Linked DNA regions of Rhinolophus ferrumequinum. The protein of the gene in region 4 interacts with the protein of the main gene of each other region in a pairwise test. Links are inferred from orthologs where the notes say so. Each region holds a gene or a part of one and is shown on either strand. Other genes may lie near its edges. The genes, in order: TNFAIP1, KCTD13, SAXO1 and ZMYND19.

The links.
Region 1: the proteins of ZMYND19 (region 4) and TNFAIP1 interact in binary tests that used the Homo sapiens proteins (3 or more experiments, as listed by UniProt). The two-hybrid records come from large-scale screens. The link is inferred for Rhinolophus ferrumequinum from reciprocal best matches to the Homo sapiens genes ZMYND19 and TNFAIP1.
Region 2: the proteins of ZMYND19 (region 4) and KCTD13 interact in binary tests that used the Homo sapiens proteins (3 or more experiments, as listed by UniProt). The two-hybrid records come from large-scale screens. The link is inferred for Rhinolophus ferrumequinum from reciprocal best matches to the Homo sapiens genes ZMYND19 and KCTD13.
Region 3: the proteins of ZMYND19 (region 4) and SAXO1 interact in binary tests that used the Homo sapiens proteins (3 or more experiments, as listed by UniProt). The two-hybrid records come from large-scale screens. The link is inferred for Rhinolophus ferrumequinum from reciprocal best matches to the Homo sapiens genes ZMYND19 and SAXO1.

The regions. Positions count from the first base shown.
Region 1 is NC_046304.1:19,042,687-19,049,528, reverse strand, and holds the start of TNFAIP1 (BTB/POZ domain-containing adapter for CUL3-mediated RhoA degradation protein 2), read left to right. Parts: upstream 1-3,842; 5' UTR 3,843-4,047; intron 4,048-6,842. UniProt on the Homo sapiens protein: Substrate-specific adapter of a BCR (BTB-CUL3-RBX1) E3 ubiquitin-protein ligase complex involved in regulation of cytoskeleton structure.
Region 2 is NW_022680357.1:925,408-933,215, reverse strand, and holds the start of KCTD13 (BTB/POZ domain-containing adapter for CUL3-mediated RhoA degradation protein 1), read left to right. Parts: upstream 1-4,797; 5' UTR 4,798-4,998; coding exon 4,999-5,242; intron 5,243-6,572; coding exon 6,573-6,742; intron 6,743-7,808. UniProt on the Homo sapiens protein: Substrate-specific adapter of a BCR (BTB-CUL3-RBX1) E3 ubiquitin-protein ligase complex required for synaptic transmission.
Region 3 is NC_046295.1:20,399,545-20,406,624, reverse strand, and holds the start of SAXO1 (stabilizer of axonemal microtubules 1), read right to left. Parts: upstream 3,001-7,080; 5' UTR 2,986-3,000; coding exon 2,963-2,985; intron 1-2,962. UniProt on the Homo sapiens protein: May play a role in the regulation of cilium length. Stabilizes microtubules at low temperature.
Region 4 is NC_046295.1:83,566,141-83,573,528, reverse strand, and holds the start of ZMYND19 (zinc finger MYND domain-containing protein 19), read left to right. Parts: upstream 1-4,386; 5' UTR 4,387-4,596; coding exon 4,597-4,647; intron 4,648-4,830; exon of another isoform or gene 4,831-5,189; coding exon of another isoform or gene 5,190-5,195; intron 5,196-5,781; coding exon 5,782-5,841; intron 5,842-6,592; coding exon 6,593-6,699; intron 6,700-7,293; coding exon 7,294-7,388. UniProt on the Homo sapiens protein: May be involved as a regulatory molecule in GPR24/MCH-R1 signaling.

The DNA.
Region 1 (6,842 bases), on a different chromosome or scaffold from region 4:
TTTGTTTTAAAAATGCTATCAACATAAAATGATTACATTTATTAAGTAACAGGGCTTAATAACACATGGAACTTGTAATATATTTTGAACTCAGGGGAACACGGTTGCGCTCAGTGGGAAAAATGAAGTTGCGCTTTGGCCTGCAGGATTGCTGGCAGGTCCAGAGTCAGTTTTGTGGTTGAGATGCGAAGGACGTCACAGAGATGGTCGTTGGTCGCTTTGGTTCTCAATCTCATCACAGAAAATGTTTGTTCACATATGTATGTTGAGCCAATCAGACTCATCATTCTTTTTGCGTGGCGTCTCATCAGAGGAAACTTGGCTTCTTCCAAGCTCCGGTAGAAGTCAGGTAAGGAGAGAAGCTGATGTTGATTCTTCAGAGAAGCATCACACTGCATTTCTATAAGTTCTAATTGCAGACTATCTTCCACTTCTGCATTGATCATGAAGGGAGTCGCGGACAGCTTGATATCGTTCTCAATGGTAGAAAAATCTTGGAAGCGCTGAGAAAATTCTGTCATGAGAGGTGTGATCACAGACACATATTCCCCTTTTTATCAGAGATCAGCCTTTGGAAACGCAGATCTGATTTCGGACAGTTGGGGAAGTGCGCAACATTGAAGGTGAGCAACTGTGCCTCAAACAGTCGGAGCTTCGCACAGAACGCTTTCATGTGTGCGTGAAGCTGCGGTACGAGTTGGTCTTCTTTGCCTTGTAGGCTTTTGTTGAGTGTGTTGAGGTGTTCAGTGAGATCAACTAAAAATGCCAGGTCTGCCAACCATAGGGGGTCACTCAGCTCGTGAAGAGGTCGGTCCTTTTGTTTCAAAAACTGGTGGATCTCTGATCTCAGATCTCAGAGAATAAAACCGCTGAAGCACGGAGCCGCGACTTGACTTAGCCAGGCACTTCTGAATAGTAGAGCAGGTCCCCATATTCAGCATCAACGTCAGGTAAGAAAGTTTGAAATTCCCTGTGGTAGAGTGCTCGTACTCGAATTCTGTTTACCGTTTTCACAACAGTGTTCATCACGTCGCTGTCTTGGCACAGATGATACAGTGCATTTTACCTGCCCCACCTCCGCTCTCCTGCACCTCGGCGCACACCATAGAGGCCATTCCTTTGAGCTCGCCTGTCATAGCTGGAGCTCCATCCGTTGTAACTCCACACAACTTGTCCCATTTAAGTCCTATCTTGTCAATTGCATTTGACACAGCTTCAAAAGTGTCTTTACCCGTTGTTGTGGTATTTAGACTGCGGAGATCAAGCAGCTCCTCCGTAATGCAAAAGTTATTGTCAACTCCCCGCAAAAAAATTAATAACTGTGCGGTATCTGTGGCGTCTGTGCTCTCATCACATGCCATGGAGTAGAAATCAAAAGCACACGCTTTGTCTGACAGTTAATGTTTTATGTTGGCTGACAAGTCTTCGATTCGCTGCACAACTGTGTTTCTTGATAGGCTAATGCTGTCAAATTCTTGACTTTTTTCTAGGCACATTATTCCTGCGACTTTAGTGAGGCACTGTTTTATAAATTCACCATCTGAAAAAGCCTTCCCATGCTGGGCAATGAGTTGAGCCACCTCATAGCTGGCTATTGTGGCATTTTCTTGAGTTTTTTTGGCACAGGAAAAATACTGTTGTTGAGCTAGCAAGATAGTTGAAATCTGCTTAACCTTCTGTTCTCGTTCCACACCAGTGTAGGACATGTAGGTCTGATGTTTGGTTTCGTAGTGTCATCTTACATTGTACTCCTTCATCACTGCGACACTCTCACTACAAATCAAACACACACACTTCCCCTTGACTTCCATAAAGAAGTATTCATTTTCCCACCGTGTCTGAAATTTTCTACACTCACTTGCTATCTTGCGTTTCTTTGGTGTTGTCATTTTCAGTGCGCTGTGGCAAAATTTTTCTTTCCTTAATTTTGTTTTGTAGAGGAACTGCCTTGATCAACTCAGTAGCTCCACCTAGAGTTAAAACCAAGAAATGCAATACCGCCCGGTTTCCTGAGCGGGCCATATTCTGGTATATTTTTGGAATTTGCTGCGGGCCAATTAAAAATGGATCGCGGCGGCAGTTTTGAGGGCGGTAGTTTGGACACCCCTGATTTAACACCTCCTGGATGACTAATCAGACCAACTGCTCTAGAAAGCTTCAGTAACCCAAGAGAGCAAACACACACCTGCTTCCACTTCTACTCCCTTTCCTGAGAACATGCGTTTATTCAGAAACACCTACTGAGTCCCAGCTCTGAAGACAGAGTGGTGAAGAAAGGGTTTCAATGCTTTTAGTTCCTGACCTCTGGACAGATAGTAAACAAATAATCACCAATTGTGCTAATAGTACGAGGAAAAGCACTGGTACCGGGTGAAGGGGCAGCAGGAGAACATAATTCTCATGGGGGCGGGGTGTCAACAAAAGCCTTCTGAAAAAGTGACAATCTGAGACTTCAAGAATGTCTAAACGTTTTTTAAGTGAACTGGGGAGGAGGCATTCCAGGCAGAAGGAAAAGCATGTGTGAAGATCCTGCGGCTGTAAGAAATTTAACACATTCCAAGCACTGAAAGGCTAGTGTGGCTGAAACAGTGAGCAAGGGGGAGCATGGAACAGAATGAGGCCAGATGGAGAGGCTAGCGCTGTCATAGAGGGCTCTGAAAGTCACAGTAATGAGTTTGGATTGTATCAGAAGGGTAAAGGGCAGCCAGTGGGTTCTCAACAGAGTGACATAATCAGACCTGCCTTTTAGAGAGATCAGTCGGACTCAGAATGGAGTGGATTAGAGGGAACAAGAGGGTGGGGCCACACCTCCCTTGTCCATCACTCTAACCCTAGCATCTAGCATGGGGCCTGCACATAATTGGCACTCAACAATTGTTTGTGGAATGAATGGCTGAAAACAGAGGCGGCTATTACAGTAACCAAGGCTTAGAGCCAAAGAAAAGTGTTCCAATTTGAGATGCTTTGTAAGTGGAGTTGTTAGAATTCAGTCAAGGAATGACTGAATGTAGGGGTTTGAGGATGCGTGAAGGAGAGTCTGACAAGAGTCCCATTTCTGGTTTGAGACAACTGCATAGCTAGAGGGAATAGCCGAATGAGATGGGTAAGACCAGAGAAGGTTCACAGCTGACTATCAGATTCTCTTCCAACTCCCACCCCACGCGCGTCTGAGCATCTGAGAAACACCGGGCACAAAAGCCAGACCGAGCTCCCCGGAGGCGTTTACACTCTCTCCGCCCCTGACGCCCCCGATCCACGCTAGGCACTACCAGCAGGCTCCGTCTATGGAGTGTGAGGAAAGGGCACTGGGAAGAAAGTTAGATCTGGGTGGTGGAGCTGGCTGTCTTCACTATGTAAACTTCTTGAACTTATCTGAGCCGCAATTTCCTCATAAGATTGTTGCGAGTATCAACGGGCAAAGCTCCAGGCCCAAGCTGTGTGTAAAACCCCTGGGACAGCCTTTCCTTAGCGCGCGCGGGCCTGTCATCTCGCCCCGATTCCGCCCGCGTCCCCCGACCCAGGGTCACGGCCTACCTTCCGACCCCGTAGTGGCGGCGCGCTGCGGCGCAGGCTGATGTCGGCTGGCAGCTTCTCTCCCCGGTCCGCGGCAGCCGTACCTAGCTCGCCCGCCTCAGCCGCTGCCACGGCTACAGGACCTGTTTACACATCACGTCACTACCTGACACCGGAAGCACTTACACTCGATTAACCCGCAGAGCCTGCTGGGAAACAGAGGCCCAAGAAGAAAGTCGGCTGCCTACAGGGTCCAGAGGCCTTTGCACCGGAAAGGCTGCCGGAAGTAGCTGTGCGTTTACCACGGAATCCTCTCAGGGGCTCTTCCCTCTGCCCTGATTGGGTGCTGGGCTTGCTTGGCCTTATAATCTCAGGATCGTAGGCTGGCCCGGCTGGGCGGTAACTCAAGGCGGAGTCCGCGGTCGGAGGGTGTGAGTGCACAGCCCGGGATTGCTGGCAGGCTGGGGCCACAGCCTAGGGGCGGCACGGTTTCGGCTTGCAACCAAGCTGAGAGGAGAGGCGCCCCCAGGGACGGTGAGAACCGGGTTTGCCGATACCCTGGGGGAAGGGATGGATGGGCCCTGGGCTGGAGCAAAGAGAACCCCACCTGGACCTGGGGAAAAGGCGAGAGACGGTGTAGGGGAGAGGGAGAGCTTAAATCCCCTACTGAGGGTGTGTCAGAACCGGCCTCGTTTTCTCGCCAGTAAGGAGGAGGACGGGCTGGGAGAGACTGTACACTGGCCACAGAGAGGTCGGGCTTCCCTAAATTTCTCCAGACCCTTTGGATGAAACCTAAGATTTTTACACCTAGGATTTCATCTAGATCCATTGTGCCTAACCGAGATCGGCTCTCTTCCCGCTCCCCGTTTCCCCTGTGTGTGACGAACTTCTGGGTCTTCCTTTAGGATGCCACCTCCTTCCACAGTCGTGGTTGTTTGCCCTTTATTCTACTTGGGTTCCCCTTAGCTTCGCTGAGTGAGACACAGATACGCCCGTAGCTTCAGGCATCCCCAAATAGCCACATCGAAGTCCGGAAGGAAGAGCACTGAGGCTACCAGTGGAAACTTCATTCTCACTGGAATTACTTTCTGGGGCGTCACCTGCCAAAGAATTCCTGGAACTCATTGGTCTGGGCAGAATCTGAGCTGACGTCATCCAAGGGCTCATAGTAATTGCTTTGTAGGAAAGGAATAGATTAGCTCTGGATTTGTCTTCCTCTGTTGGCAACCAACTAGCCTTTGAGTTCCTTTGCTTTGGCAGAATATGTACGTGTGCTTTCTTTGATCCTGGGGAAATTGGGGCTAGATACAAAATACGTAGGGACTTGTTAAAACCTGTTAAAGGCTGGATTTATTCCTATGGAGTGGGCTGAAGAAGGTAAGGTGATCTCATGCTAGTGTTACTTATTGATTGGGCAATCTTCTGGTGAGGGTTCATTCCATCCTTGAGGCTAATGAGTCAAAGGAATTCAGTACTTCACACAGCATCTGCTCTGGCCCTTCCTTGGACGTTCTTCCCAGGGACCTACCTAAATCTTTTCAGGGACAATTTCAGTATAACAAACCGACATATATTAAATACTTTAAAATGTGTATGGCATGGTGCTAAGCACTTTGGAGAATGGAGCAATAAACTTGGGAAAACCAGTGCACTGCTTTTGGGTTGCCCTTATAAGAGATCTTGGCAACTGTAAATTTCTGCATGTTGTGATGGTTAAATGAAGTAATTTCACTTTTTTCTGTCTCGGTTATCGTCAGTGTAGTCCAAGCCTTCACCATTTCTTGCCTAAACTACTGCTTCCTTTGGTCTTCCCACTTGCTCTCTCGAACCCTTAAATCCATTCTCCGCAGCACAGCAGCCAGAGTGAGCTTTTCAAAATAGAAATAACTCAGGTCATATCACTCCCCTCCTTAAAACTCCAATCGGGGCAGCCGCTTAGCTCAGTTGGTTAGAGCTCGAAGCTCGTAACAACACCAGGGTAGCCAGTTCGATCCCCGCATGGGCCATTGTGAGCTGCGCCCTCCACACCTAGATTGATACAACTGCTTGAGTTGGAGCTGATGATGGGTCCTGGAAAAACACACTTAAATAAAAGTTTAGAACAAAAGAAAATTATTAAAAAAAAAAAAAAAAAACCAACCAGGTCTCCAATCGATTCCCATTGCAATTGGTATAAAATCCAGACTCTTTAATATGATTTCGGCCTCTGCCTTCCCTTTACCTCAAGCCAACTTTCCCCTTTCTATGCACCAGCTATCTTGGCGTGATTTTTGTTCCTAAAATGTGTGTCTAACTGAGGAACTTGGCACCTACCCGTCCATGTGTCTAAAATACTCCTTCAGACCTCAGCTGGAATATCACGTTCCCAAAGACGCTTTCCCTGGAGCCCTGTCTAGATTAGTGCCTCTCGCTAGTCACTTTCTTATCACTGTTTTATTACCTTCATTGCATTTCTCGCTTTTGGTTTACCTGCTTATTCATTTTTTGTCTATATCTGCCAACTAGAATGTAAGCTCCATGAGGCCATGCCTTGTTTGTTCTCTTCTGTATCCCCAGTGCCTGGCACATAGCACAGGCACAGTAAATGCTAACTCTTATTATTTTTATTTTTGTTACCATTATGATGCTTCTTTGAACGCCTTGAAGGCACTGCGTAACATAGTAGGCACTCACTGTTGTTTTATTGCTGAGTGAAGTAATGAGCTAATAAATATTAAATGCCTAGAATAGTACCTGGAACGTAGTCAACATGCAGTGAATGTTTGCTATTACTTTTTCTTCAGCGAATGAATTTTAGTGATTCTCTAAAAAACCAAAACATATAATATAGAATCTAAATCACAAGAGGTGACCTGACTTTGCCTTCCTTTGCTTTCCTTGCTCCTCCCTTCCATGAACTTCTAAGTCACTTCATTGTTTTTAGATTTATCATCTGGTTTTTTCTAGCCCTTTCTCCCTAGTCTTGTTGGGAAGGAAGAGAGGAAGAGATAGGGCTGGGCCCCTTTCAGGAAAAGAAGCAAAAATAGCCATCCTGTAGTTGTTCTATCCTGAAAAATGGTGACAATTTCAGGAACTTGGGACCGGGCTGGTGCCAAGAAAGGGGAAGGTCAGGAAACCCTGGCTTCAGCCACCTCTGCCAAGAACACTGACCGCGGTGTTCCCTCCAGCCTGACTCATTCCATGCTCTCCTGAAGCTGCTTTACTTGCCTTCCTGAAGCCAGACTCCGGGTGGTACTAGTGCAGGCTGCTCCTGAGCCTGGAATCTTTAGAAGGGAAGTACATCCTGTCGCTCGGGCTCCTGGGAAACTCCTAGGCTGGCTAGACTCCCA
Region 2 (7,808 bases), on a different chromosome or scaffold from region 4:
AGGGAATGTCAACTGGTGCAGCCACCTTGGAAAACAGTATGGAGGTTCCTCAAAAAAGTAAAAATAAAACTACCATATGATCCAGAAATTCCACTGCCTGAAGGAAACGAAATCTCTATCTCAAAGAGATATCCACCCTCATGTTCACTGCAGTATTATTTACAATAGCCAAGGCATGGAAATAAACTGATGAATCAATGAAGAAAATGTGATATATACACATATAGAAGCCACAAAAGAGGAAGAAATCCTGCCATTTGTGACAACATGGATGGACCTTGAGGGCATTACGCTAAGTAAAATAAGTCAAACAGAGAAAGACAAATGCCAGATGATATCACTTATATGTAGAATCTAAAATAACTGAACTCAAAGACAGAGAACAGATAGGTGGTTGCCAGAGATGGGGGGAGTGGTCTTTGGGGGAAATGGGTGAAGGTGGTACAAACTTTCAGTTATATATAAACATACACACACACACACACAAATACACACAGAGGGTGCCAAAAAAAATGATACACACATTTTAACATCTCTTAAAATGTGTGTATCATTTTTTTTGGCACTCCCAGTGTGTGTGTGTGTGTGTGTGTGTGTGTGTGTAAATTTCCAATTATAAGTAAGATCTGGGGATGAATATACGAAATACACGATAACTTACTTAACTTATAAGATCAATATAAAAATTTTAAAGGTTTTTAAAAGTTTAAATCATTTGAAAATTAACCCCAATCTTTACAGACCAAAATATTGTTCTGGCATTACTTTTCATGGCAAATTTAAAGACATTTCATGGCAAATTTAAAAAGCTCTTCTTTTATCTTGGAACTAAGGCCTTTTCTTATGTTGTAACTATAATAACAAAGCCTATGACACAAATACACTTTTCAGTGCCCCCAAAGGAAACATACATAGTTGACTAATTCTTTAAGACATTTTTAACTGTTTAAGTGGACTGGTTATTCCTAGAGTGTGCACATACAATAGAATCGGTTTCGATAGTTAATCTTTACAGTTTGCCAAGAGAGGGAAACGGACAGCAAAAACCATGAGGGGGCGCTACTTCAGAGAATTATGAAACTACACTCTAAAAAGCTAATCAGTGTTCCCTCTGCAAGCAAAGGGAAGACCATTTAAACGTAGAAAAACAGATTTTGGCATATACACGCACACACACACACACACAGAGTGGCCTTCCAGCTTATTTTAAAAATAACTTGACAATTTAATACAGTTATACAATTAAAAAGCAGCATTTATTAATCTACAAAGTACAGAAGTGAAATATTGCCTATGTTAAAATAATCTCTCTTTTTGACAAACAAGACAATCTCCTCAATGAAGTTTTTTCCCCTTTTGTTCTGAGGTACCTCTCAAATAAACAATCTTATTCTTGCCAACAGTTCCCCAAAATGGCCAACACAATGGTCCCTAGTAAAATGGTGTCAGTTAGAGAGATAAGGGTTCCAGTTACAGTAATAGTAATAAAAAATGAAGGAAGCAGGTATTTGGCCCAGGTTTAGTTGGCACACGGATCCATAGGATGGTGCCACGTAAACCTCTATCTCCAGAACTTGGCCAAAGGCTAACTGTCATTGATCAGGGTCCAGAGGAAATGTCCTGATTTGGGGCAGAAGAAACAAAACAAAACAGTTCTCAGGGACACAGACAAAACTCAGGAAGAAGTCCTCATAAAGGTTTGAAATGGTGACTCAAGGCAAAGTTTATCCAAAGGACACAAGTCTGAGGATATGTTCTGAATTCCACGGTCTCTGGGGCTGGTTGTAGGACACACTTATCGGGCCTTGGCTGACACAGAAATTTGCCTGGTTAATTCTGTTAACAAAAGAGATACCAGCACGCTACCTGGTTACAGGACTGCCAAGTGGTTTGGCATTTCCAACTTTTTAGATTGAGAAGTAGCGTTCAGCCACTAGAGATTGAGCAGTAACAGGTTTGTGATGCCCTCAGATATCCGTGGCTGCACACTCATCCTTCCCCTCTAGACTCTTCCTCTTACAGACAAACACATTCAACACACTAGACAAGAGAATAGACCATAGGAGCATGTATGGAAGGCCAGAAAACAATTTTACCAAGGAGAAATTGGACAACCAAAAACTCCAGAACGTTATTCCAAGGAAAACAAACAAAATAATTCCAATGCTTAAGGGTCTCGACAAAACATCAGGCTTACCTCCAAATCATGGGCAGGACGGCACCCCAGTTAGACACAAGGCGGTCTCAGATGTACCCGTTATTACGAGAGTCCCAGCAGTGAGGGTTTCAGCTCATCTCCATGGATCCCCCATTTCAGACAAGGCCCTCCAGCCAAAGGCCACCAGGAACACATCTGTGGTTGAACAAGGTAGAGCATAGACCATGGGGAACCCATCTTGGGCATGTCAGCAAGCACGTGTTAGAAAGACAGTGCAGGATTTAGGCTTGTGGTAGGTTATTCTCCAGGGGGGTTTGAGAAAGGGGAGATTTTCTCCAGGTTGGCTGCTGTCAGGGGGTGGGGATAATTCTTTTCGGTTATCTTAATAATTCTTACCTAGAAGTCAGGAGGAGGCATGGATCAGGGCTAAAGCTCTACTCGGTATTATAAATACGCAGCAGTCATTCCGACTCGGGGAGGGGGTTGGGTTTCGTCATTTTCGTGGTTTGGACAATGTGTGCAGACATGGTTGTGGCATGGTCTTTCAATGCAGCAGAGTGACTTTGTTTGATGTTGGAAACTGTTTCTGCTCGACAGGACAACACTGCAGCCTAGCTGTAAGTACCAGGTGGACTGCTGGCGACACCAAGGTTTCTAGAGGGAGAGGGCTGATCAACTCCCAGGAGGCCACGAGCGGCTTCTCTTTTTAACCAACTACACTTGAAAAATCAAAATTGGCAACCCCTCTTGGTACAACATGAGCTCTCCACAGGTCACCCCAGGGCCCCGCTTATCTAACAACTGGTCCACCCCACTCATTTACACTCCTACCTGCCGCCTGTGGGCATTTAAATTCATGCCCCTCAGTAAGCAGTAAAGGAACCATGGAAGCCCAGAGACAAGTGACTTGCCCAGGATCAGCCAGGGAACTCGTAACACCCGAGGTTGTCCTGTTGAGCAGAAACAATTTCCAACATCCGACCAAGTCACTCTCTAACGGATTGAGAGAACGCCTATTCCATAATCACGTCTGAACACATTGTCCAAACCACAAACATGAGCAACCACCACCGTTCCCCCACCATTCCACAGCTCCGTGTGCAGCTTTTCACTCCAGCAAATCCCCCTGCCAGACACTGAGCCAGAGCGTTACATCACACGTTGCACCCCACTTTCTCATCAACAGTGTGTCTATCTTGTTTCTTCTTTCTTTCCAGGTTGGGTATCTCACATTAGCCGGGAGGTTAAGACCTTTGTTGAGCTGCTCCAGCCACCCTTGGCCGCCTTTCTGCTCTTTCAATTCACCAAGCCTGTTCTTGCCTGGGCATTTTTGTATTGGCCCTTCCCTCTGCCGGGAAGTCTGCCCTCACCCCTCTATGTGGCCTCTTCTTCTCAGCTTCAGCTCAGTGCCACCTCCTCAGAGAGACCCTCCTTGATGACCTTACTTACAGCCTGCATGCCCTAGCACTATTGCCATCTGCCCTCGGAGGCCACTCCGTTTTGGCCTTCTTAAAAAGAAACGAGGGCTGGCCCAGTGGCTCAGGTGGTTGGAGCCACCTGCTCCTAACTCCGAAGGCTGCCAGTTGGATTCCCACATGGGCCAGTGGGCTCTCAACCACAAGGTTGCCGGTTCGACTCCTACAAGGGATGGTGGGCTGCGCCCCCTGCAACTAAGATTGAACACGGCACCTTGAGCTGAGCTGCCGCTGAGCTCCCGGATGGCTCAGTTGGCTGCAGCGCATCCTCTCAACCACAAGGTTGCCAATTCGATTCCTCGAGTCCCCCAAGGGATGGTGGGCTGCGCCCCCTGCAACTAACAACTGGCAACTAGACCTGGAGCTGAGCTGCGCCCTCCACAACTAAGATTAAAAGGACAACTTGACTTGGAAAAACATCCTGGAAGTACACACTGTTCCCCAATAAAGTCCTGTTCCCCTTCCCCAAATTAATAAATAAATTAAATAAATAAATAAAAACAGAGTTCCCAAAATGTTAAAAAAAAAAAAAAAAAGGCATGGAATGAGCCGGTGGGCACGCCTGGGAGAACCCGCCTGCTAGACCCCTGGGGAGGGCAACCTTGCCTGAAGCCACACATTCTTTGCTAAGACTTTCTTTCCCTTTTCTTCCGCTGGCTTTCGGCCTGTGATTTTAAAACGTTTTCTCGTCCACCGCTTGAGCAGCGCCTTTCTGTTCGCGGGATGGGATGCGGCCGCCCGACTCACGTGCGGTTGCGCAAAGCCCCCGTGAGCTTTACCCGGACTCGGCTGGAGTTGTGCGTTTTCGCAGCCTCCTTGGAGAGCGTCCCCGGGCGCTCTGTCCACAGCGCTCCTCCGTCGGTCCAGGTGCTCGGGGTTGGCGGGTGGGAAACTCGCCCAGTGCCCTCTACGGGCCTCAGTGTCCCCTTCATGCCCGCTCAGCGCCTTGAGAGCCGAAACCCAGCCAGGAGGCGGGGACGTCGCTGTCCACATCGGGCAGGTGGCCGGGCGCTTCCCTCCGGCGGCCCCGGTCCTGCGAACGAGAGCGCGCGCCTCACCTCTCCCGACCGCCGCCCCGCGACGCCTCCGCCAGCCCCAGGCCACTGCGCATGCTCCGCACGCCGGCCTCGCGCGGATGGGGGCGGGACTTTGACGCGCCTGCGCAGTTGCTGGGCCCGGCTTCCGGGAGGTGCCGGCGCGATGGCATTGTCGGCCAGTGTCGCTGGGTAGCGGCGACGTGTGGGCGTGTGGGTCCTGTGATCTGGCCCCAGCGCTCGGGCCCCCGGGTCTTTGCCGGCGGGCACGGAGAGGGCTGCAGATCGCCGGCCGCCGCCGCCGCCGCCCCCACCACCACCACCCCCGGGCATGTCGGCGGAGGCCTCGGGCCCGGCGGCGGCCCAGGCCCTGTCCCTGGAAGTCCCCAAGCCTTCGGAACTCGAGCCTGGACCAGCCGCCTACGGCCTCAAGCCACTGACCCCCAACAGCAAGTATGTGAAGCTGAACGTGGGCGGCTCGCTGCACTACACCACGCTGCGCACGCTCACGGGACAGGACTCCGTGCTCAACGCCATGTTCAGCGGCCGAGCCGAGGTGATCACAGATGCCGGAGGTACGCGTGCTGCCCCCACTCGTGCTTCCCTCCATCCTCCGGAGCGCCGTCGCCCTGACTCCCCGGTTTTCATCGCCCAGTGTGTGTGTGCGCTCGTCTCACTGCCCTGCAGACAACTCATTCTCACCTCCAGTCCCCACTTCCCATCGAACCTCCCCTTTCTCATTCACAATCTCCTTTCTCCCCCAATCTTGACCCCCCAGCAATAACCGACACTTAATGGAACCATCCCCCTCTCCCCCAGTTCTGCCAGCCGCTGGTAAGTGGTAAGTGATTCAACATGTCACCCCAGAATTTTCCTGACCACTCCCTCCCAATTCTCCCACTTCTCGGCTCAGAAAACTTGGGAACCAGCCCTGCTGCCAGCAGCCCTCTTTCCACCAACCTGCATCAGTTTCTGACAACCGCCCAGCCTTTTTATCCCCCCTTCCCTGCCTCAGCGCTGCTAACAACCAGCCTGGAGTTGCCGGAGTGTCTGGTCTGTCTGTGTTTCCCCCAACACGCTCTAGCAACCCATCTGTAAATGCAGATTGTAGAAGAAGGAGGCTGCTTTCTTTGAGTTTGCCAGGGACACCCCCGCGGAGAGGGTGGACAGTTCTCGCTGGCAGGCGAACCTTACCTTCTGGGAGTGTTGCATTCAGATTTCGGCCCCACTGTGCCCAAGTGGAACCGTAAAGTGTGGGAGAGTTCAGAGGGGTTAAAAAGGATTGTGAGAACAGGTAAATAAACATTTGGGAGGTGCAGCTCAGTCTTCAGATAATCTGAAGGTGAAGAATGTATTTATTTAATAAGTGTACACTGCCCGTTAGGGCTTGAGATAGTTTGTTTGGTAAATGAAGCTCAGAAGAGTAGCCTTATGAAGTTTACTTTTTTGTGGGGGCAGAGGAGAACAGTAAGCAAGTAAACATACAAAAAAAAAAAAAAAGACATGTAATTACAGATACATAGTAATAAGTTCTATGAAGAATAGAAAGGTTAAAATGGTAGTGAACTGGCAGGTGAGGTAGACATTTTCATTAAATAGGATGGTCAGAATTACACACGAGAGGTAGAGGTTTATTGATAAGGTAATCTGTAAGAACTTTCTAATCTTCTCAATGTAGAATAGACTTAGGAGGGAACTAATTCTCTCTGGCTGGATACGTTAGAAAGGGGCCTATGGGAACACTCACTGGACATGTTTAAAGGGGATTTTCTTGGATAAGGCCGAGGTTTGAGAAAGATCAGTTTTTAGACTCGTAGCTTTGGAATCCTTTTTTCATAAAAATTTCATAGCTCCAGGGCCCCCAGCAAAGCCATCCTTTCTCCTTCCTCTCCCCTACTCCTCCAGGTTGGGTCCTGATTGACAGGAGCGGCCGCCACTTTGGCACAATCCTCAACTACCTGCGGGATGGGTCAGTGCCACTGCCTGAGAGTACCAGAGAGCTGGGGGAACTGCTAGGGGAAGCACGCTACTACCTGGTACAGGGTCTGATTGAGGATTGCCAGCTGGCACTGCAGGTGAGGGTCCCTCCCCAACCTCCAGAGTCCCACCCCTGTGTGCCCATGTCCCTGGGAGAGCTGCCAAATAGTTAGATATTAGGATATTGGGGTGGAAAAAAAGGAAACATGGAGTACTGCCTGAAGAGGCTGCCTCTGGCCTGGCTTTGACTAGCCCTGGACCCCAGAGAATTTGGGGGTGCTGCCCTCTGCATCCCTTCTGCCTCAGGCAGCACCATTCTCAACATCTCATGCCAAGACTGTTGCAATGGTTAAATGGCTGCTCTCTCTGCTTCTTGCTCTTTCTACCCAGCCAATCCAGCTGGTACACTACCACCTGACTTATGCTTAATCTTGCTCAGAAATCATAAGTAACTTTCTTATGCCACTAGGAACAAAAATATCTAAATTTAAATTGGAACATAATGACCTCTGTGATCTGTTTCTATCCTGGGAGGCAGCACCCAGTGCCCACCCCAGTGGCTTAAAAAAAAAAAAAATTTTTTTTTTTTTGGCAATAAAATGTGGCACAACCCAATAAAACAGGGTTGTTGGTACCAGAGCCCCACCTGCTGGGCTTCTGTTCTGTGGATCGCTTCGGGTTCTTAGGAGAAGACTTGGAAAACACAGCCAGGATATGTGCATTAAGTGTCACTGCTACCGCAGCTGACTGAGTGACATTGAGTCAGTCAATTCCTACCTCTAGCATTCTGTCCTCATGTTCCAAAAGATAAGGAAACGAGAAAAATATGTACAATGCAGTGGGTTTTACATAAAACCTTTTGTTCAGTCCTATTTAAAAGTTCTTTCTTTTAGGATACAATATTAATAGATTGTAAGAGTTTCACTTTTGATGTCCTTTGTATATTAAAAAGTGACAACTATGAACAATTTCCTATTATCTTGGGGAATACTTATTTTCAAAATCCGAAAGCATAGAATTCCTTTGGGCTGTATCCATGTTTTTCAGACTTTGTGATTGCAGCCCATAGAAAAAAATACACTTTATATTCACATATATATTCACATTTTATATTCACATATATTTATATTCACTATAACTGATACTTTCAGCAAAATATACTCT
Region 3 (7,080 bases), about 63 Mb from region 4:
TGGCATACTCAGAGGACAGCTTCTCTACATTTCCTGATAGGGAATAATTTTGTACACATATATGGACCAGACTCTCTGCGGAATTTATGAGGTTCAGGAAAGATGGTTGGTAAAATCTTGATTTCTGTTCATTTATTTCAATAAAAGTTCAATGGAACTCTGAAAAAAGAAAAACAAAAAACCAAAAAAACTCCTCCTGATAGGGACATAGTGTTGTCCTTGGTCTATAAACACTAGTGCCCAGCATGGCAGTCATAGAGCTGAAAAATGATGAAACTGAGGTACAGAAGAGAGAAAAGATGATCTCTGATTATTTCCCCCCTTAGTTCTCTTTGTGGGGAAGGAAATAAAAGAGAGGAGAGAAGTATCTCTGCTCTTTTTCCTTCCTATGGGTAACCTTGATCCCACCACTTTTTCTTTTTAAAACCCCTATGGTCATTAACAACTTGTTTTGGAAATTCTTTCCGCTTCTGCATTCCTCCACTTTGGCCACATCTTGACATGAATGATATTGTTACTCTGGCTCCGGCAGGGACAGAGGGACCTTCTGGGTGATATGTTTATTATTGTAAGTGACATGAGGCAAGAATAATTTAGGACAGGTCAGAGGGGAAGTTTGTGATTTGCAAAGCACCATTGGAAGGCAGAGGTGGGAGGGCACGTGTGGGGCTCCTTCTGGGGGGCTCAGAGCCAGGCGATGGAGCAGGGCTGCTGCCCCAGAGAGAGGGCTTATCCTCGTTCTCCTAAGCATGGGAGCAACAAACAAAAAGCATTCCCCAACACCCAATCCTCAAACACGCTTTTCTGTATTTCCAGGACAGGAAATAGATCCCTAGTATAACATTTGAAACTGTACCTTACTTTATATTCACAAGGCATTCTTCATTTCCTGCAAATTGGGTATAAAGAGATGAGAAGACCAACATCTAGAGACTGCATGTGATGTTGCAAGCCATTTCTCAACACAGCTCTTATCCTTTTGTACCAATTACATGTCTCTTAGGCATATGCCAAGGACTTTTCATCAGTGTTGACCAGGGTTTCTTAAAAGGAAAAGCAATGCTCTGGAAGGGTCTACATCTCTTGTTGTGTTCTTTGGGCTCTTAGAAACTAAGAATGCTTTTTTCTTGGTAAAACGAAGCCCAACCATTAAGGTTCATGTTGTTCAATAAATCATAGGTTGGAAAAAAGTTTGCGTAAATTACAATTTTTTCATGAGTCAGGACCCAGAAAGCTTGTGCTTAAACCAAATCATTTAAGAGAACTGCTTAGCATAAAAGTGACCTGAGGGCCAGCCCAATGGCTCAGGTGATTGGAGCTCCGTGCTCCTAACTCCAAAGGCTGCCAGTTCGATTCCCACATGGGCCAGTGGGCTCTCAACCACAAGGTTGCCAGTTCAACTCCTCTACTCCCGCAAGGGATGGTGGGCAGCGCCCCCTGCAACTAAGATTGAACACGGCACCTTGAGCTGAGCTGCCACTGAGCTCCCAGATGGCTCAGTTGGTTGGAGCACGTCCTCTCAACCACAAAGTTGCTGTTCAACTCCTGCAAGGGATGGTGGGCTGCGCCTCCTGCAATTAACAACGGCAACTGGACCTGGAGCTGAGCTGCGCCCTCCACAACTAAGACTGAAAGGACAACAACTTGACTTGGAAAAAGTCCTGGAAATACACACTGTTCCCCAATAAAGTCCTATACCCCTTCCCCAATAAAATCTTTAAAAAAAAAAAAAAGTGACCTGATTCAAGTCAAGCATCAGACAAGGCCCTCAACTCTCTCCCATTTTCAAGTTGCCCCATCCAATGGCTCCCACCAAGCTCAGAAATCCCTTGACTTCATTTCTCCCCTCTTGTGTCTTTTCTGCCCCATAGCCCAGACATGGACTTCTTCCTTTGGATCTAGGAGATAGCAGCTTTTTACAGGAACACTTCAGGCCTCCAACCCACCATTTCAACACAGGATATTTCCAGGTTACCAGGGGGTAACTTGGGGGCAGAATGAATATTAGAGATGTTCTGCTTAGCCTGGGTCACCTGGGACCGTTAGTAGAAAAGCACAAAATTATGAGGCACAGAGGGAGCAACAGCAAGAAAACTGACCAGGTCTTGAGAACCTGTAGTGTGCAGGTACTATGCTGGAACAATTTCATCTCCACCTCACAGCAATCCTGCCCTGTAGGGATGAGGAATGTCAGAGGCAAAGATGTGTCAGGTCTCATCTGGGAACTAAACTCTATAATCTGAAACACTGCCCAACTGCACTCAAAGATGTTTCTACTGCACTGGGTCACCAGTCACAGGTCACCACCTGGTGATCACTGAGTTGTCAATGGCAGATTCTGTTGGAGTCTTGCAACATGTAGAACAATCCTCAAATTGATCATTTCCCCTGACCCCCTTAATACAGATACCTCTGCAAACCAAATATACTAAGCCAGAACTGGATCTAAAGAATCAGAGTTTATAAGGCAAGAGAAATTTATAAGGAAATGTTCTTTGTTCCCATTCTTGAAGGGGATCCCAATTCAAACTCTACAGCATAATTTCAAAACAACTCACTCTTTCTCTATGATCAAGTTCTCTTTCACCACTGCCAACGTCACGACCACCACTCCAGCTGATCTGGAGCTTAGGTGCCAAAGCCCAAACCTCCTTTTTCAACAGCAGCCCCCTTTCCATCCCTTCCTTACTTAACCGCCAACTCTTCTTATGTAGATCAGTTTAGCCCCGCCCCTCTCCCACTCCCCACCCACCACACAAAAAATCCTTTTCATTGAAAAGAGATTGTGAAAAACCAAACAGGTTGATAAATGCAAGATTTTCTTTCAGCGATATAGCAAATTAACATTAAGGCATTAATAGCATATGTTGATATTGCACATTATTACGTTAACACTGTACATTATTACTGTACATTATTCCATGAGTGTTATACGTTCATATATTCATACTATTGCCCTCACCTTGATGTGGTCAGGACTTCCATTGGGATGGACCCTTTCTGGTACTCCAGCTTGGGCTTGAAGGACTCTCTGGGCAGGTAAGAGTGATAGAGAGGGTAGTTCTCGGTGTATTCGGAGAGAAGACATGGTTTCTCTGTTTTATCGTAAATCTTCGTCGGGAGATATGGACAGTGATGCCGCCTATAAAAACACATGAGCTTGGGTTGGTTACCTTCTTGTGAAGAAGACATCCAGTTTGATAATGTTACTTCCTCAAAATGTGACCCACACTATAAAATCATGACTGTGGGCATTGAAAACAGGAATTTTACTCTTCCTTTTCTCTACCAAACTATGCGAAGTGGCCAGAATTGTTTACATGAGCTAGAACTGCTATTGGTTAATTGCCAAAATCCCTTGGATCATAGAATTACACACAAGCATGGCTGATGTTCAGCCGTTACACTTGCCATGCTGCTTGTTGAAACACTTCCCTCATAATGGGTAAATGGTTGTGGCCAACAAGCCCTCTGAGTGACAACCCAGCTGCCCCAGACCCTCTCCCTGAGGCCTCCCCAAGCCTCCCAATCACCCAGAAAATAAGGGCTTAATACATGACAGGGTGTTCCAAGGCCGTGCTCTAGGGCCAGGATGCTGTCTTCCCTCATTGGCTTCCGGGTCCGAACATCATCCTTGCACACAAGTGGCCTCATATAGCGGAACCACCTCAGTTCTGAGTATACTAAATGTCACTGACTACATGAAACCATTTGCACTTTGAAAGTCTGGCTCCTTTATTCTTTCAAGTCTTACCTCAATTGTTACCTCCTTAGAAAGACTTCTACTGATCATTTCAAACCTAAAATACACCCCATCACCCCTTCCCTCTCATAGTTCTCTTATCCCCGTGTATGCCTTTCTCATCACTCACTGTTATCTGTAATTTGTATGTTTGTCTATTGCCTGTCTCCTCTGTCAAGCTCAGGACCTTCTCTATCTTGTTCACTGCTATATCCCTAATACTTTATATCCTCCCTGGCACACAGTAGGCATTTGGCACACATTTATTGAACAAATAACTGAGCATATAAATGAGTGGTTAAATAAACTCTATGCCTCACTATACAGTAGGTGATAAATAATAATTTGCAGTTATAATTTATAGTGAGTTTTTCCATTTTATATGCACAGTAAAAAATGAACCTTATTATTCTACCTACTGCTAGACAAAGGGCAGCCATTTGAGCTCCAAAAACTAAGAAGTGTATCAATTATTTGTGTGCCCATATACAAAATCCTCACAAACAAGTTGGGGCAATTCTAGTCATCAGACACCAGTATACTGATAAAACTTCATTAATGATTTACAACTTAATTATATCAAGGAATGGCACAGGATTATTGCAAGTTTTTTTAATGCTGAACTGATTTGAATTACAGAAACTAAAATACACAGCACTCTGGGGCAGCACATAGGGGAGGAGAGAAAGAAAGGAGAGAAACAGACATACAGAGAACTCACCACTGCTCTAATCTAAACTATTTTCCAGGCAACAATTAGTACGTTGCTCCTGTTAGTAAGTTCAGCTCTCTACGTAAATGTTGCTGCCACCACTGTTATCACTGTACCCTCTTCAACTCTCCAACCCCCAGAGGAAATGATCGACACCTGTATTGTTCATATGAATAGAACTGCATATAAGCAAGTACTTTTACAGATATCCCAATTTATTTTCCTCTCATTTGTAGATTTGTGCCTTGAAAAAGTCTTAAGATGATATAAACTTGTCACATTTACTTTTCTTTTAGTTATTATAAAAAGGCTATTTATCGAGGGGGCCAGCCCAGTGGCTCAGGCTGTTGGAGCTCCGTGCTCCTAACTCCGAAGGCTGCCGGTTCCATTCCCACATGGGCCAGTGGGCTCTCAACCACAAGGTTGCCGGCTCAAAAGGGATGGTGGGCAGCGCCCCCTGCAACTAAGATTGAACACGGCACCTTGAGCTGAGCTGCCGCTGAGCTCCCGGATGGCTCAGTTGGTTGGAGCGCGTCCTCTCAACCACAAGGTTGCCGGTTCGATTCCCGCAAGGGATGGTGGGCTGCACCCCCTGCAACTAACAACTGCAACTGGACCTGGAGCTGAGCTGTGCCCTCCACAACTAAGACTGAAAGGACAACAACTTGAAGCTGAACGGCACCCTCCACAACTAAGATTGAAAGGACAGCAACTTGACTTGGAAAAAAGTCCTGGAAGTACACATTGTTCCCCAATAAAGTCCTGTTCCTCTTCCCCAGTAAAGTCTTTCAAAAAAAGGGGGGGGGCTATTGATTCATGGTGAATATTTTAAATTTCCCTAATTACGTACAAGGAAATCTTCCACAAATATTCTGTCCTTGTACTATGAATATCTGAATTTTACAGTATTAAATACACTCAGTGACAGTTTAGTTTTCCTTTTTCAAAATACACATTGTTGGCATTTAATATATAAAGATGAATATGTATTTATATTTTATATATATTTAATAAAGTATGTCCTAATCATAGGTACATGACTTGAGTGCTTTAATCTTCTGTCCACTCAAGATAAATTGTTGTGTTTCATGGTAAACAAAATAACCATCCCCTACAGTTTAAAAACATTAGCCATTATTACCATTTCCGGGCTCATGATCAGTCCAATTATCTGAGATTTCAATCTGAGCCAATTAGTACCCTATTATTTTAGTATTCCTACAAAACTCAAATCAAAAGCCAAGAAGTGTTGGTAACAAAAATATATACCACAGATATATTTTATTCACCCACACTCTTTGAGAGAGAAGTAAAGATTTTTATCAAGGATAACTTAGATTCAGTCACTTGCAACAAAATGGACTCCACAGACATAGCAATATTTGCTCTCTTCCAGTGCCCTTGTTTTTTTAAACCAGTAAGACTTTGCTTTTTATCTAACCCCCTTTCCATATTGTTCCTTCTTAAAACTGAAACATACTACAAAGTCTTATTTAAAAAAAAAAGATAAATTTAATGGCAAAATACTGCACTGTTATTGCTATCATAAGAGGGGATTTTAGTATACAACACACTTGCATCCAGAGATTGGCGTTCTATTATATCTAATATATATTTATATCTAATATATATTTATAGGGCAGGTTTTCTTTATTTGACTTGTTGCCAATTAACTAGAATCTTGTCTCACTCTGAAATACCAAAGTTCTTATTTGAAAGTAAATGTTTCATTGTCTGAGTTTGCTCATGGGGTAACCTCCTTTCCTTACCTGTACCCAAACACCCTGAATATCCCTCTCAAGTCACCAAGCACCATAGATTCTCCTTGTTGGTCTTTACCCATGAGTTCCTCAAAGATAAAGACCAAGTCTGACATCTCTGTGTTCTGGAAGCTAGCCCAGTGCCTGGTACACTTATTTAATAGATGGATGGACAGTTGGACCGTGTATAAAAGGATTATCTACTGAAAGAAAGATATTTACAAAGAAAACGAATTGTTCTAACATTAGTAGAGCGAAAAGGGAAAAAACAGATTCTCAGTTTTTATGGATCTAGATCATGTCTGAAGAAAGTTTATGGAATCCCCATGCTTGGGGTATTTAAAAGTAGTCTTGAGAGTCATGAGCCAAAGAAATGAGACCTCTTCGAGATCTCTGATACTTGTATCATTTTAGGGGGTGTCTTGGTCCCCTTGATCAAGAGCACACCCAAACAATCCTATGTGGGGCCAATGGGCAGTGAAGAGAAAAGGGAGGGAGAAGGTGCTTTCACCTGTCAGAACTCTCTTTCCACTCCAGGATTTATTTAAGGGCCAGAAGTAAAAGGAAATAATGCTGACTTTTTCTGATATATGGTAAGGAAGTAGTAGAGAACTTACAATGGAATCCAAAAAAAGTAAAACAAAAGTTGACTCCAAGGTAGAATCATAGAATTTTACAGTTTGTAAGGAGAACAGCATCTGTGGAAATCCATGACTTGTCTTGCCTCTAGCACGGTCCTTTGGGATCCCATCCTGAGCCTAGCCTGACGGGGACACTGAAGAGGGCTCTCCTTCACTCCAGGAGACAGACTACGGAAGCAAGAAGGTTTGATTTCCAATCCTAGCTCTGCCACTGACTGCTTCCTA
Region 4 (7,388 bases):
GGCAAAACTGCCGTTCTCTGGAGCATTTTCTCAATTCCCTACGACTGGCAATTGTCATCACTTTGGCCCAAATAAGCCAGAGAGACCCTCTACAAGTGTGGACGTTCCTTATGCCGATGGGGCCATCTCCCCTCGACCTTGAAGCTCCCAGCTTTAACTCGTGTTCTGGGTAATGATCCACCAGCCTCCGCTGTCACTCCTCTCCACAGCCAGGTCAGCTCCTGACTCACTGTCACTCTGTCCAGTACCACTCTTGTTAGAATTCTTAGCAATTTCAGAATCCACATAGGTGACCCTTCCAACCTCCTGGCCTCTGTCTTAAAATGTACCCAGGATTAGTTTTAATCAGGTAAAGCGACAGACACAGAGACAGTTGCTTGCAAGTCTAGTACTTACAGTGCCACACCACATAGGGTCACGTGGGAAGTAGCAGCATGGCTCCGGAGGCAGTGGGGAGGGACAGCACGGCCCAGAGCCCATATTGTTTTCTGTGGGAAGGAACAGTGAGGCAGTGCAGGTGAGTTTGAGCCCTTAGGATGGGACAGTGTCAGCAACTTCAGTGGGCTCGGCTTGGGGCAGGCTCTACTTGTCCAGCACCTGTGATCAGATGATTAGGATGATTAGGAAATCCTGGCCCGGTGTGCGAGTTAGATGAAGGAGGTGGCTGGTGTGGGCTCTGCATTGGTTGGTTTGCTTGTGGAGGCGTGTTTGCTGTCTCTAGGAATTAGCTAGCCTGGGAGAGGCAGGCTGTCCCCAGCAGCAAGAGTCCCCAGATGTCAAAGTGAATACAGAAAATGAAAGCCATGACCAATACAGCTCTCATTACGCCGACTCCCCTCCTCCAAGAACCTTCTCCAGCTGACAGCACCTGATGGCATTGTCGGTTGGTCTACAAAGATGTCTGCCAACCACTTCTCCCACCCCTTTACTTAAGTTCACGCTGTTCCTGCCATCAGAAGGTGGGTTCCATTCCTTCCCATTGAACTTTAACTGGCAGTACTGGGATGGAAGAGATGCCATGCCAGTTGCAGGTTCTTGGGAGCCCCAAGATGCCACGAAAAATGTCTGGTTAACCTGCTGGAGAGATCGCACAGGGAGAGATAGAGTGCCCGGGCACGTGAGTGACACCAGCTCAGACTTCCTGCCTCAATTACCCCCCAGTGACTGGCTGTGCCAGTGCCATGGCCGTGTTAGCTATCGACTACTGCAGCACAAACCACCCCAGTTTCTTATTCGTTCTGAAAATAGGCCCCCGAGGAGGAAGGTGGGTGTAGTGACCAGTCCTCAGGCCTGAGCTGTGAAGTCCCATAACTTTCTACCACATTAAATGCATCAAAACAGTCACAGGCCCAGTGCAGGTGGAGCATCACAAACATACAGACAGAGCAGGAACTGGTGCTGACGACAGGAGACAACTGGCCTCACCAGCCAACAGCACAACCAACCAGTTGAGCCCAATCGAGATTCCAGAACCACGAGCACCTGAATAGTTGTTTTAAGCCAGTAAGTTTGGGGTGGTTAGTTACGCAGCAACAGGTAACTGGAATGGATATTGGTCCTTAGAAGTGACACATTGCCACTACAAAATTCCAAAGTGTGCCATTGACTTTGGAACCCAGCAGCAGGTGCACACACCTGCAGGGCAGTGAGGGCATTGCTGATGGAGGCTGGAGACAGCGTGAGCCGGGATGGATATTGACAGAAAAATGGCAAGACCGCTGCTTGTGGTAATGTGGAAGACAGAAAGTGAATCTAATGATTTTCCTGGCAGCGGCTTAAAGGGCCAGTTGGCTTCTTTCCACACAAGAAGGCAAACCAAAGGGAGGGGAGTGTTCTCAAAAACATTTGCGGTGCAGCTTTTGTCTAATGGAGTAGGTTATAATTTGATACATAGAAAGTCCACAGTTGTATTTTTAATTTTTTTTAATTGGGGAATATTGGGGGAACAGTGTGTTTCTCCAGGCCCATCAGCTCCAAGTCATTGTCCTTCAGTCTAGTTGTGGAGGGCGCAGCTCAGTCCCAAGTCCAGTCGCCGCTTTCAATCTTTAGTTGCAGGGGGCGCAGCCCACCATCCCATGTGAGAATTGAACCAGCAACCTTGTTGTTAAGAGCTTGCGCTCTAAATAACTGAACTATCCAGCCGACCCTCCAGCAGCTCAGATGCAGCTTGTTGTCTTCAATCTAGTTGGGGAGGGCGCAGCTCACTGGCCCATGTGGGAATCGAACTGGCAAACCTGCTGCTAAGAACTCGTGCTCCAACCAACTGAAACATCCGGCCACCCCCAAATCCACAGGTTTTTAAAAAGGGTTGTATTCTGCTTGAATTCAAATGGACAGACTTTGAAATAAATGAGGGCTTTGGGCCCCTGACTTTCTACAGGCAAATGGCTGGCTGAGGAAGCTACCCAGCAGCAAATATGGGCTACTTCCTATGGAAAAGGGAGGATGACAGAGGTGCAGGGCCAAGGTCCTGGAAAAGCCAAGAACTGCTGAAAACAGTAGACTAGGAGAGCTCTTACAGGGAGCAGACAATCCATGCTAAAGGAACATCGGGACAGATGCCTGGCTGCATTTCAAATTGCTATGGACCAGTGACTCCACAGTGCACTCCTCCTTTTTCAAGGGGATGTCTAGCTCTTGTCCTATGGAATGGAATGTTGGGTGTTGGGGTACAGACAACAGGCCTCTGCAGCAAAAGGAGCCACACTCAACGTGCCTTGCCCACACCGGGCCGTTTTGTGCATCATAAAACAATGGACCCCAAGCCCAGTACCTTGATGAGACAGTAATTCTGGAGGTCTTAGGAGGCCCTGAGTGCAATCTTGCTGTGACAGGGGCCGCAGGGCAGACTGGGGCAGGCTGTGCCACTGGTGCCCACGCCCCCACCAGTGAACCACACTTCCCAGAACTTGTGCTCTGCTGCACAGCCCTCCTACACTGGCTCTGGGCTTGCCTGCATGAATCGCTTTGTCCAGTGGGGTACTAGAAAGCATAATTCCATCAGAGGCCCAATAAATGCTTGCCCAATGGGAAGCGCCCTCTATGCTGTAAGGAAGTGCAGGTGTCCTGCCTGGTCACGTGGGGAAACCCTGTACAGTGAGATACGACACAGAGAGGTTATATGGAAGAGAAGTGAGGTGCTCCAGTGAATTCCCGAGTGAGTGCAACCAAAGGAGGGACCCAGCTGCCTGCCCCCTCTGTCTCCTTAGCCAGAGTGATGCATTGGAAAACTACTCTGTTCAAACCCTCCAATGGCGTCACTTGTTGGTTCACTCCCGGTTCACCCGTCTGGTCAAAATGGCCACCTTGATGTTTCAAACACGCCAGATGTGTTCCCAGTTGAGCCTTTGCCCTGACTCTTCCCTCTATGCCCACGTCTCGCGCCCTCTCCTCTCACTGGTTGTTCACGTTGACTAGTCAGCGAGGCCCTACTCTGCTCACCACCTTCACTGGGACCCCCGCCCCAACATTGATCCACTCCTTTCCCCACAGCGTTTATCACTTTCTAACACGGGCGTATAACTCACTTATCATAGGCCTTTTCTGCCTCCCTCCCTGGAAGATGAGCAAGGGGGTGGACATTTGCTATGTGCACTGGTGTGGAGGCGTTTCCGTGGGTAGTGGAGGGAGTGGACGCCAGCAGAGACGGGGGGGTAGGCAGAGGCCCCCCACCCCCAGACGTCAGGCCCTGGAGTTGCTGTTTAGGAAGGACCTGGACCAGGCTGGTCAGTGCCCTGGAAATCGCCCCGTCTCAGTAGAGGAGCTTGAGGCACAAGGAAGTTTGGTGTAGCCAGGGCCGGGGGGCGGGGCCCGTGGTCCCCACGCCGCCTCTGTGAGGAGACGGCGGGCGGCCGGGGAGGAAGGAGGGCGGTCAGGGGCCCTGCCAGCTAGCCGCATTCGGCTCGGGCCGGGCCGTCTTCGAAGTCCTGCAGGCACTGGCCACCCCAGACCCGACTCCACCGCGGCCCCGCAACTCCCGGGTGCCGTCCGTACACCGGGCCGCCTGCCGGCTGCCCGGCGGACGCCGGACCGCTTATGGGGAGCCGCAGCGAGTCCTGCCAGACGGTCCGGGGCGCGCAACCAGGCCCCTGGGCCGCGCGCAGTATCGGGGGTTGGTTGCCGGCGCGAGGCCGGGAGCTCGGAGCGCCGACGCCCGCACAAAGCTTCCCGCGAAACTGACGTAGCGCCAGGCGGCCGCGCAGGCGCCGCCCCCGGCCGCGCCCCTCCCCCGCGCTCGCCCCGCTCCTCAGCGCGCCGGCGCTCTCGCCCGCCTCCCATTGGCCGCGGCGTGGCGGCGCGCGCCGGCCGGTGCAGGGCGCGCCCCGCTATTGGCCATGCGGCGGCGGGCGGGGGTGTGTCCGTGCCGCGCCCCGCCCTCGCCTCCGCTCGCTGTGGTGCGCGCGGCGGCAGCGGCGGCGCGTGGCAGGTCCGGCGGGCGCGAGGCGGCGGCGGCCCGAGTCCGGCCCAGCCTCGTCCCGTCCGGCCGCCCGGACCCGACCCCGGCCCGCTCGCCCGGCTCGCCAGGCGCGCCGCGGCCCCGCCCCGGCTCGGCGCCTCCCGAGGGAGCGGCGCCGCCGGCCGAGCGCAGGCCTGGCCATGACAGACTTCAAATTGGGCATCGTGCGGCTCGGCCGGGTGGCCGGGAAGGTGAGCGGCGCAGGGCTGGGGGCCCGGGGCTGGACTGGCGGCGCAGGGTTTGGCGGTTGTGCGGGCGGCGGGCGGGCGGCCTGTCCCCGCGGTGGGCTGCCCTCCGGCCGCGGCCTGGGGCTCCGACGGTGCGCCGGGGAGGAGGGGGCTGTCGGCTGCACCTGCGGCGCGGAGAGCGCAGCGCCCCTGCGATGCGGCGCGCTCGCTCCTTGCCGAGGCCGGTGTGTGCGCGCCGCTCAGTGCCTTCGGGTCCTAGTGGAGCTTCGCGCAGGTTTCACGCTGCCAGCGGTGGCCACGTCTGGCCGAGCCTCAGTGGGCCTCGCCGGGGCAGGGCCTCCCTCCGCTTCTCTCCCGTACTCGGCCCCGCCCTCCGCGTGTTCGAGGCGGGGGCTTCCTAGCACCTGTGGTCATCGAGGCTTGGCTGTTTCCAGGAGCCGGCCGGCCGTGCAGCTGCACCAGCCGCGGACCTTACCCTGGATGGGAACCCTGTTCCCATCACAAGCGGCGGAAGCTTCTGGGGAGAGAGGAGCACAGGCAGTGAGATGAAGGTAAAACGGACTCAGATCCTAGAAGAAGCTTCCCAGGCGAGAGTGAGTGGTCCGGAGGCCGTTACCTGCCCGTCCTGCAGGCGGCGTGCGGCTTTCTAACTAGAAGGGTGGGCTCTCCGCAGTCCGAGGCTCCTGCTGACTTACCGACCGGTCGTGTTAATGTCCTCCTCGAAAGCTTTTGCTGGGGACAAAAAGCTAAAAAGGACAACTCAGTGAGCACCTGAGTCCCGAGTCCCGTTTAATCAGCAAGCACTGCAACCTTCTGGATATTCTGCCTCGGCCCGGGGCTCGTCTCTGCTCCAGCGACGCCGCCTGTTGGACTGGGTTTATTGGCACATCATTCAGACGCACAGCTTAGAGGCTGGCCGGCCAGTCCCGTGGCACCTCGAAGGCTTAGTCGGGTGCGGGTGGCAGCGAGGCCTGAAACCTGCTCCAGGGGTACCAGCGATTGGCACGTCCACCTGCGCAGCGGTCGGCTGCTCCGCCCCGTGACGGCCCCCTCTTAGGCTGATGGGCCGCCCCTGCCTGTTGCCAGTGCCTCCGCCAGATCCCCAAGGTAATGTTTCGAAATGTGGTTGCTTTCTAGACCAAGTACACGCTGATAGACGAGCAAGACATCCCGCTGGTGGAGGGCTACTCCTTTGAGGTAAGGGCCCCCTTCCCTCTGCAGGCCTGCTGTCCGTCAGTGCCCGGCAGGGCCGTGAGGGATGGTGCTCTTCCCTGAGATGTGAGGGCAGGACCTCGCATGAGGACACGGGTCTGTGCTGCCTGTGTCACGCAGGGCCTCCCTCACGTCCACCCTTCTTGCCAGCTCTTTCTGAAAAACAGAACAAATTGTCACGTTTGTGACTGGATGTTCAGTTGGACAGGCCCCGGCACCTTGGGAGACTGTCCCATGCCAACTTACCTTTTCTCTGGCCTTGGCCCCACTGTCTGTCCTGGTGCCCAGTGCTCCTTTCATCTTCTGAGTGCCCCACCTTGCTCTGTCTGTGTCACTCACTCCTTCCTTAGGGACACGCTCCAGGCATCTGTGGGCCAGCACCCCCATCTCTGCCCTTCACGTTTTCACAATGGTGTCTTGTGCAGGGGTTCATCTTGCTCCCGGGATTGTGGGCTTCTCGGAGGGGCGGGGATTTATGTCGCTGTGCCCACGTATTGTGCAGAGTGCTTCATGAGTGTCTTGCTTGAATTCATGAGGGTGAAGAGGGTGCTTGTTGGGGCACGCTGGCATATCCGTGCCGCGTGTCTTTGGGAGCTTCTGCACATTCCCAGGGCCCCAGGAACAGGCCTGGCATTTGTCCCTCTGTTTGTTCACGTCGCTCAGTGTTTCTAAGAGGTGTTTAAAATGTTGCCGAAAATCAGAGGCTTTCTAACAGATCTCTTCCCATTCCTCCTAGGCCAGGATGGAGGTCGACGCAGATGGAAATGGCGCCAAGATATTTGCATGTGCCTTTGACAAAAATCGAGGAAGGGGGTCAGGAAGGCTTCTTCACGAGTTGCTGTGGTGAGTATTTTTGAGCTATTGTTCCATCCCTGGGTCTTGCATGAGTCCTGATGTGTGTGGAGCCAGTGGAGCCACCTGCCCTTGTTTACAGATAGTGCTTTTGCATCGTTGCCACTAAGTGAGGAATGAGTGACTACACACTGTGGCACTGGCAGGGGAGCCTAAAGTTTTCAGCCACCAAGTGCCCTTTCTGCTCCGGTGTTCGTTCTGGGGTACACAGTGTCCTCTGGGGGAGCATGGGGCCTCGTCCCTCCTGGGCTCTTGCTGGGCCTGTTAGGGGGATGTGGGGAAAGGATGGCTTTCCTCGGTGTGCTCTGTGGGGTCCAAAACGCGGGGGGCCGTGCACATGGGGCATTTTCTAGGCCGTGTGTTAGATGGTTTGGGACTCCAGCCATGGCCTCTTGCAGCCTCGCTGACCTGCCAACGTGGTCTGTACGTTTGAGCCACAGACTGACACACGTGGAGTCCTCTGGGCAGCCTGCTCCTGCTGCGTCCCCTACACGGCCGTGTGAGGAGGGTCAGTTCAGACCACATGGCTAACAGGCTTGGGTAGGTCTGGGAGGTGGGGTTAGAGACCTGTCTGTCTGCCCCCAGGGAGCGGCACCGAGGGGGCATCGCCCCCGGCTTCCAGGTGGTACATCTGAATGCGGTGACGGTGGACAACCGCCTGGACAATCTGCAGCTGGTGC